Linked DNA regions of Schizosaccharomyces pombe. The protein of the gene in region 2 interacts with the protein of the main gene of each other region in a pairwise test. Each region holds a gene or a part of one and is shown on either strand. Other genes may lie near its edges. The genes, in order: psf2 and dpb2.

The links.
Region 1: the proteins of dpb2 (region 2) and psf2 interact in a two-hybrid assay, tested with the Schizosaccharomyces pombe proteins (one study listed by BioGRID).

Annotation. Positions count from the first base shown.
Region 1 is NC_003423.3:1,227,432-1,231,209, forward strand, and holds psf2 (GINS complex subunit Psf2), read right to left. Parts: upstream 1,757-3,778; 5' UTR 1,597-1,756; coding exon 1,045-1,596; 3' UTR 877-1,044; coding exon of another isoform or gene 735-876; 3' UTR 717-734; downstream 1-716. Other genes in the region: nbl1 (borealin N terminal domain-containing protein), read left to right, coding at 331-445, 495-663, 735-876; acetylglutamate synthase Arg6, read left to right, coding at 1,860-3,362; orotate phosphoribosyltransferase Ura5, read left to right, coding at 3,648-3,778. UniProt on the Schizosaccharomyces pombe protein: The GINS complex plays an essential role in the initiation of DNA replication. Has a role in chromosome segregation and is required for bir1 localization.
Region 2 is NC_003423.3:3,657,128-3,661,058, forward strand, and holds the start of dpb2 (DNA polymerase epsilon catalytic subunit B Dpb2), read right to left. Parts: upstream 1,804-3,931; 5' UTR 1,626-1,803; coding exon 108-1,625; intron 66-107; coding exon 1-65. Other genes in the region: mpe1 (RBBP6 family ubiquitin-protein ligase E3), read right to left, coding at 3,046-3,931. UniProt on the Schizosaccharomyces pombe protein: As accessory component of the DNA polymerase epsilon (DNA polymerase II) participates in chromosomal DNA replication.

The DNA.
Region 1 (3,778 bases), 2.4 Mb from region 2:
AGCATCATCAATTCTTATGTACCTTTTAAAGTGATGTGTTTCAACGCTTTTATTTTGTAAACTTGCTGCTTTTTTCTAATTCTAGGTCATTATTCTTCTTTCAATTTATAAAATATCTTTTGGGTACGCTTTTTTGTGCAATCCTCTCCTTTCTAACGTTTGTTTACATATTGAGTATTAGGTAACGATGTTACTTACATATTAGTTGAAGATTTATTGTTTATACAACAACTCTTATTCCCACCACCTTTTCAGCGCACCCAGAAGTACCGTCTTTTGATCAGCTGTTAGCAAACATCTGTTTTGTTTTTTGATAATTTATAATGCTTAATGATGAACAAGCGTAAAAGAGTGGAAGAGCTTGGAGAGACGAAACATCGTCAAGTACGACAGCGAATTCTCCAAGAACACAAGAACGATATACTTGAAAATTTAGCATTTGAACGTAAGTTTTTGTACCTGGAAGTAGTAAAGTGTTAACGGGTATTTTTCAGTTTCCGATAAAGTACGACGTTTGCGCTCAAACGCTAGTTTACTTGCTTCAACAATTCGTATGCGAGGAGAAATGCGTATCGCCGCTATTCCTCGCGCTCAACGAAATATGCATCTGCGCGATCTAAAGAACCATCTTTCCTGCAATGTGTCTGCCACACCGTGGAGAACGTAAGTGTAATATCAAATTTTACTTTGCCATACGTACTACTGGAAACACTAATTGCTAATTACTATTTCAGAAAAATAAAAGAATTTTATAATCTAGACGAGCTTTCCTCCCAAAAGTCCGCTAGACAACCTACAAAAACGGTGGCATCCTCCTCTTCTTCTTCATCAAAAAGCACCACCGTTTCCAAATCGAGTTCAAAGTCGCAAGTGTGAAACCCTCATCTACTGCTTACTGTGATAAAATTTCACTACTACAAAGTTGGTATTCATAAACACTTCGTAGGATTCATTATCATTATTTTTAAAGTACATCATCCACACGATACCGAAATATTCTCATGTGAAGTCCATTTATTTCCCACTTTACTTTTGATGAGTAACTCATTCTTCTTGGGAAACTTGAACAATTTTGCGCATTCTGTCCATCACCTCTCGAAATATAGGACGTATTTCGTTAATTTCCATTGCACCCAAATTATCCAAAGTTAGTTGAACTTCATTAATGGCTTCCAATCCCGTTCTTGCTTTACTTTGTCTAGCTTCTCGAATGTCCAGCAAAATCCTCCTGATATCCTCAACATCCTCGATATCATCAGCACAGAAGTTTAACAATAAATGCGCCGTTTCTAGCCACCGAAAAGGCAACTCTGAGAATGTCTCGTTTTCCAATTCATCATCTCGTATGTTTTCAAGTTTGCCTATTTCCATCCATTCCGGAGGTACAATCCTTGCCAAATTTTGCTTTTTTAGCTCAAGAGCCAACCATAAAGGAACCCGACATTTTTTGGGAGGCTTCATAATGGGAATCGTCGCGCTAACTAGCGGCAATTGATCCATTGTTTCTGAAGGAACAATGTTAATATACTCATTGCCAGCTAAAAATTCCATTTCCTCTGGTGAGAATGAAATTTCAAGTTCCCTTGGTAAGGCCATCTCTATCACCAACGAACAGTACAAAAATGCCTATCAATAGTACCGTTTTTGGGCTTAATGTCTTTTTTTATTTAAAGTTTTGTTTTTCTATTTTGGAGTTCGTTTATAGCATTTATTGGTTGTTATTCCTTACAGCATAATTTTTTGTGTGGTGGGTTTCGGACTCATAATAGTCACCCTCATCTAAATCACATCTTGCTCTTAGGTCATCGGTATATGATTGTCAAATTTTTATATTTCTCGTTTTAAGGTAATAATTTTGAATGCAAAAACCTTCATTGTCACAAGACCTTATTTGGATATTGAAATCAGTCCAATCTCGTAGGTCTACGAAAGGGTTTTTGCAAAAACATTCTTCGCTTAAGGATGGCTCTCCCAACAAGAAATCCTTCGCTCAGCCAATATCGAGTTCGTTTTTAAACAGAATTTCTATTACCAAAATTGATGATGTGGATTCTTTAAGTGATAATACCCTATATGGAATTGGTCGAAGTATAAATAGCCTGGCACGTTTAGGGATTCAATCAGTGATTGTTCCCACTTCCAATCCAATTGGCATGACATCTCCTTTTAAATATTTGGAGAATGGTACGGTCGTAGCGAAAAAACGTAAACTTTCAATCTTTGAGGAGCTACAGCAACAGCAAAATAGAGTCATTCGAGTTTCGGAAATTTTTTCGAAAGCGGGAGTGTTAACCCGTCCTAGCTACTCCTCTGTATGTCAATTGGGCCCTGAAGGCCCTAGTGTTGAGAATGTGCAAGGTATTTTTCAAGCGCTGTCTTCACTTTACACGGTCATAGTGCCAAGCTCGATTTTAATGCCCAACGTCATTGAGGTTCCAATTGATGGTAATGAGGTTCTTGCTGGTTTAACTTACTCGTTACACAAGCCAAACTTTGGGTTTTGGGTAGACCGAATCGTCATTCTTGATAAAAATGGTGGCATGCCATGTTCTAAACGACAAACTGGTTCTAGTCATGTTCTCATCAATCTGGCTCAAGAGTTTGACGAGTTAGCGAAAACACTTCCACCTTATCATAGAAAAAATTTGATTTTGGTAAGACGCTGTTTGAAAATGTTACCGGATGATGCCTCTGCTCTAATCACTACGCCTGAGGATGCTATGCTTACAAATCCTGTCTTAGACAAAAATCCGTTAATTCACAATGTTTTGACGGATCGCTCTATTATTTCATGTTCCTTGCCGCGCGATCGATCTCCTATTACGAAAACAACTGTTTTGCGTAGCGGTGTACCGGTATATACATTCCTAGGTCCGAAATGTCTAACTGATGGCTCCGTTTCGTGGGAAAGGCTTTGGGTTTTAATTAATGACTCCTTTAAGCGAACGCTTGATATGGACGCATATTTAGATAGGTTGAAGAATTCGCTAGCTGCAGTCATTATTGCAGGGGACTATTTAGGGACAGCCATTGTAACTTATGAACAACCAGATGGAACAACGAATGAAAAGGTCCCTTATCTTGATAAGCTTGCCGTCTCACAAGGAGCCCAGGGTTCAGCAGCAATATCTGATGTTATGTTTAATGTTATGACTGATTTATTTCCCAAAGAGTTGATATGGCGCTCTCGCCTGACTAATCCAGTCAATAAATGGTACTTTGAAAGAAGTGTAGGCTCCTTAAAGTCAAGCAAAACACCTTGGAAACTTTTCTGGACTGGAGACTCACATGTCAGAAATTTGGATCGAGTGAACCAGTATATGAGCGTTATTGATAAAATTCAGCCAACATGGTTGAATTGAGTGGAAGTTAACGATTGCACTTTATCAGAGACAAGATTATTTCGCTTCTTCAAAAGCACTTGTCAAACTTTTTAATAAAAGGAAAAAAGTCCATTTTGATAGGACATTAATTCTCTTTTGCACATTAGATTATAGATTGAGTAGTTTGCCTACAAACTTGCATTTTTCTTTAGTTATGATTTTTGTTTATTCCCCCACATAACCCCCATGTAGAGCTTAGAAAAGGTGATACTAGCTTTTTTCTTTTGTGAGTATCAACGTTTATCAACAAAACTAGTAGTAAACATGTCTTATAAACTTGAGTTGTTGCGTCGTGCCTTAGAACATAATGTTTTGAAGTTTGGAACTTTCACCTTAAAATCAGGCAGAAAATCTCCATACTTCTTCAATTCTGGTAATTTCACTCATGGTGCCGA
Region 2 (3,931 bases):
AATATTGGTCGTGTTCTCGATGGAAACGGTGAAAGGTGAGACTGATCTAAAACTGTTTTAACCAACTAAACAAATTAGCATAAAAAAATTATAAGAAACTTGCTTACTTTTCTTTGCTGATGCACTTGTTGTTCTGCAAGGGGTATAGAATTAATATTGGAGGTACCTTGGGGAGTCTTCCCAAACTTTAATGAATTCCTTTGAAATCTTCCTGATATATCGTCTCTATAAATTAGTACTTCCTGAGAAAAGAAAATGATGCGGCAAGGGTTTGAAGCGAAAATGGTATGCTTACAAACGCGTTGGATCCGATTTACGAAATGAAGGGGTATTGAATGCTTAGGCATTAAGGATATCCCATTTGTCGTCCAAGGGTCGTTTGGACCGGGGACAAATATGAATTTTGTCTTTTCGCAAATTTTTGGAAACTTCTCAAGAGAAGCTGCAAGCTTATTAAATCCTTCTTTATATTGAATTGAGCTTCCTGAATTATGGAAAGCGGAAGACATAAAACTTCCACATAATATTATACAAAACGGCACAGCTTCAGAGGATTCATATTTTTGGAATATTTTTTCTAATGCATAGAAAGTTTGATGGTTGTCAAGATGAACCTCGCTGATACAAACAAAAGCTTGTGACTGATATGCCTGTTCCGCGTGACGGAGAAGAGCAAGTTGCTTTGCATCCATATTCAACCCCAAAATATCTAAATTATTAAGGGCCTTCAAGGAAGCATCACGGCGTTCAATGGGAGGATGACCAAGCTCAAAAACTAAAAATAGCCCAGAACTTAGAAATTGACCATTAACAAGTACCAAGCAGCCAGGGCAAAAGAGACCGAACCCTTGTTCTGCCTGTGATACGTCTAGTTGAACTTGACTGTCAAGATCTTCCAGCCATAAGGTACCATCGGGAGCTATAGTCAAGAGTCCGAACAACAAAAATGTGTTTCCAGCTCGACCTAATAAATTGCGAATAGGAGTTAATTGATATGTACCTGTTTGAGAGAAAGAGCCACTGAAAGAAGGTGTTTGAAAAGATTCATTGCGTAAAATACGGCTATATACAACATTGAATCTGCGGTTAAGCATATCTGTGCAGGCACTTGCAGATGCCATTAAAGTAGGAGACTGTTTTGATAAAACGAAAACCTTTCTTGATGAATCGTACTTAAATTTAGGCATTTTAAAAGCATCAAGGACTCTAAAGTATTTCTCATTTTTTATAGTTTCACGGATTTCCGAATTACTCGAATTTAAAAATGAACCGGTTGTCTCAAGCGTTTGAACTCTTGCTAAGGAAGATACGCGAACTTCATGCGGAACATTTAAATTTGCCAAGACAGGGATCAAAAGAGGTCGAGTAACTATAGGTTGAGTTTCATGAACTCGTTTCCAAGTTTTTGCAATTTCGTCTAGTAAGGGCTCACATTGGGAACGCCATTGTGAGCCGCATTTTTTAGATACGAAAGATGCTAATTCCTGCAGTGAGTCACGATTAATATTGAGATCGTACTTCCTGGTAAATACGTGGAAAGCAACCGGACGAAGGGCATTGGGTTGAACTTCAAAACTAACCTGTTCAGGTTTTTTTTCTACCGAATCCGTAATGGAATTGTTCATTCTATTTTAAGAAATATATTAATGCAAACCCTTCGCTTTTTGATTTTATAGAATCGTTTAGTGCCCACTCACTGTATCAAGGACAGATCAATGTATATGGTTTTCTAATCAACATAGGATGTAATCAATAATTTTTTGGATTCAAGTGAAAAAGTTTCAAAGGACTACTGTAGATGATAGCTATGGTGTACCCTTTATTCACTGTTTGTCTAATATCAAAATGCTAAATGCTAACTTCTCAATCTGGTTCATTAAAATATTTTAACGCACTACTATAAAATCATAAACTGTGTCAGCTACGCAGTTTAATATCCATATTAACGATACGCTGAATTGCGGTGAGGTTTTCTTGCGATCTATTAAATTGCGATATAAAGGTAATATAAGTAGCAACTAAGTATAGATATTATACTATCCAACTTATAGCGTTACTATCACTAACATAGCTTATAACTGAACTGACGAACGAAGTTTATCAGTAACTCTATTAATAGTATTTAAATGATATAGGTCTTAATAGACTATCATTAAAATCAATTTCAATATCGTATCATACGTGGTACGATGAATAATTAGGACACATGATATATAGTGATTCTCTACGTACTGTATCATAGCGTACTATAGTATGTCTAACAAAATGTTGAGTATAATTAATTCCTTTACGAAAGCTGAAATTATGTGTTAATAAATAAAGTAAAACTTAGGTAAACTAAGCTGTTTTATATAATAGGAACATTTCGAGAAGCCTATAAATAGATTATCTGAATACGTGTTGTTAGCATTGAAAATACATTTAAATTTCGCTTAGCTAAATATTTTGATTTTATAATATTCTCTGATAAAACATTTGATCGGCGAATTGTAATGTCAATTGATTTAGAAAATTAGCTTATTTTTATAAATATTCTTTTGTAAAATTAAGGAGTACTGAATCCTTGATCCTTCTACTCGGAAACTTTAGTCTAAGAATTGTTTGTTCTCTATTATTATTACTACAAGCTTTTTGAAAAATTTATTGCAATATTGCAAATAAATAAAAAAAAATACATTACTACTGATTTATATAATATGACTTTCTGAGTATTTTTAATTTCTTAGATTACAATTTTTGTTAAGGCACCTGATCAGCGTCAGCAGTAATTTGCTGAGCATCAAATCCGTTAGCAATCCATTTTTTGATGTAAATATGATACTAAATACTTTTAAATCCACTTCGAAGTAATTCAAAAGTCAATAGATATGAATTTACTCTCATATTAAAAAAACGCTCCATAAATTAGATTGTATTAATTGAATGTATTAGTATAAAAATTTTTGAATGAATATGTGTAACTGTCCCTATTATAGCTGAAAAAAGGACTTTCAACAACGTAAACAGTAAACGCAAGTTTACAAGAAAATCAGAAATAAGTAATAACTAATTTGTTTTAGTAGGGGGATTCTTATGTAGCGAGGATGGTGGGGGAACAGACGCATTTGAAGGACGAGAGTTTGTACGAGGTGGATTTCGATTATTATGATATACTTGGCCAGCAATTGCATTCATCATCATAGGCGGCATTTGAGGTAAGCCTGGCATCATAAAAGGGGGAAAAGGAGCCGGAAACCCTTGGACATGAGGCATTGATGGCATATCTGGGATGGCCATAGCTGACTTAAAAGCTGGTTCAGCGGTGGCTTTGGAAAACACAGCAGAAGATCTTGCCGCAAATTTGTTAGGTCCATTTGCATCGTCATCTTCACGCTTGCGCTTTTCAGACATTGGTGTATTGTTATCGTCAGAAGTACCAACCTTATCACTGTTTTTGCTATTAGAACCGAGTACAGATTTGACGACTGCCTCAATTTCCCTCTGTTTTTGGTAATCGGGGTTTAAAGTATCCAACAAAACATCTTTTCGATGGCAATTTGGACATTCAAAATCCGAATCTAAAAGAGCCGTTTGAATACACTCTTCACAAAAAAGTTTATCACAACAAGGTGTTCTGCAAGCATTTCTTGCTAATTTCTTACATAATGTACATGCCAAAGAAATGTTCGGAGGCTGCATTTTATACACGTCATTCGCAGTTAAAGCTGCTTTACGAGATTGATATGTTTCCCAAGACGCTACGTCTGGTTGTACTACAACATAATCTCCTTCAGCATTTATCATAATATTAGCAGCGTCGCCTTCAGCAGGCCTTTCAACGTTTTTCAAAAAAGATCGAGGTATTCCGGTAGTTCGTTTTACCCTTGGTTTTCCATCGTAATTAGGATCAGCGTTGGTAGGGCATGCTTGAATCCAGTGTCCTTTCTGACCG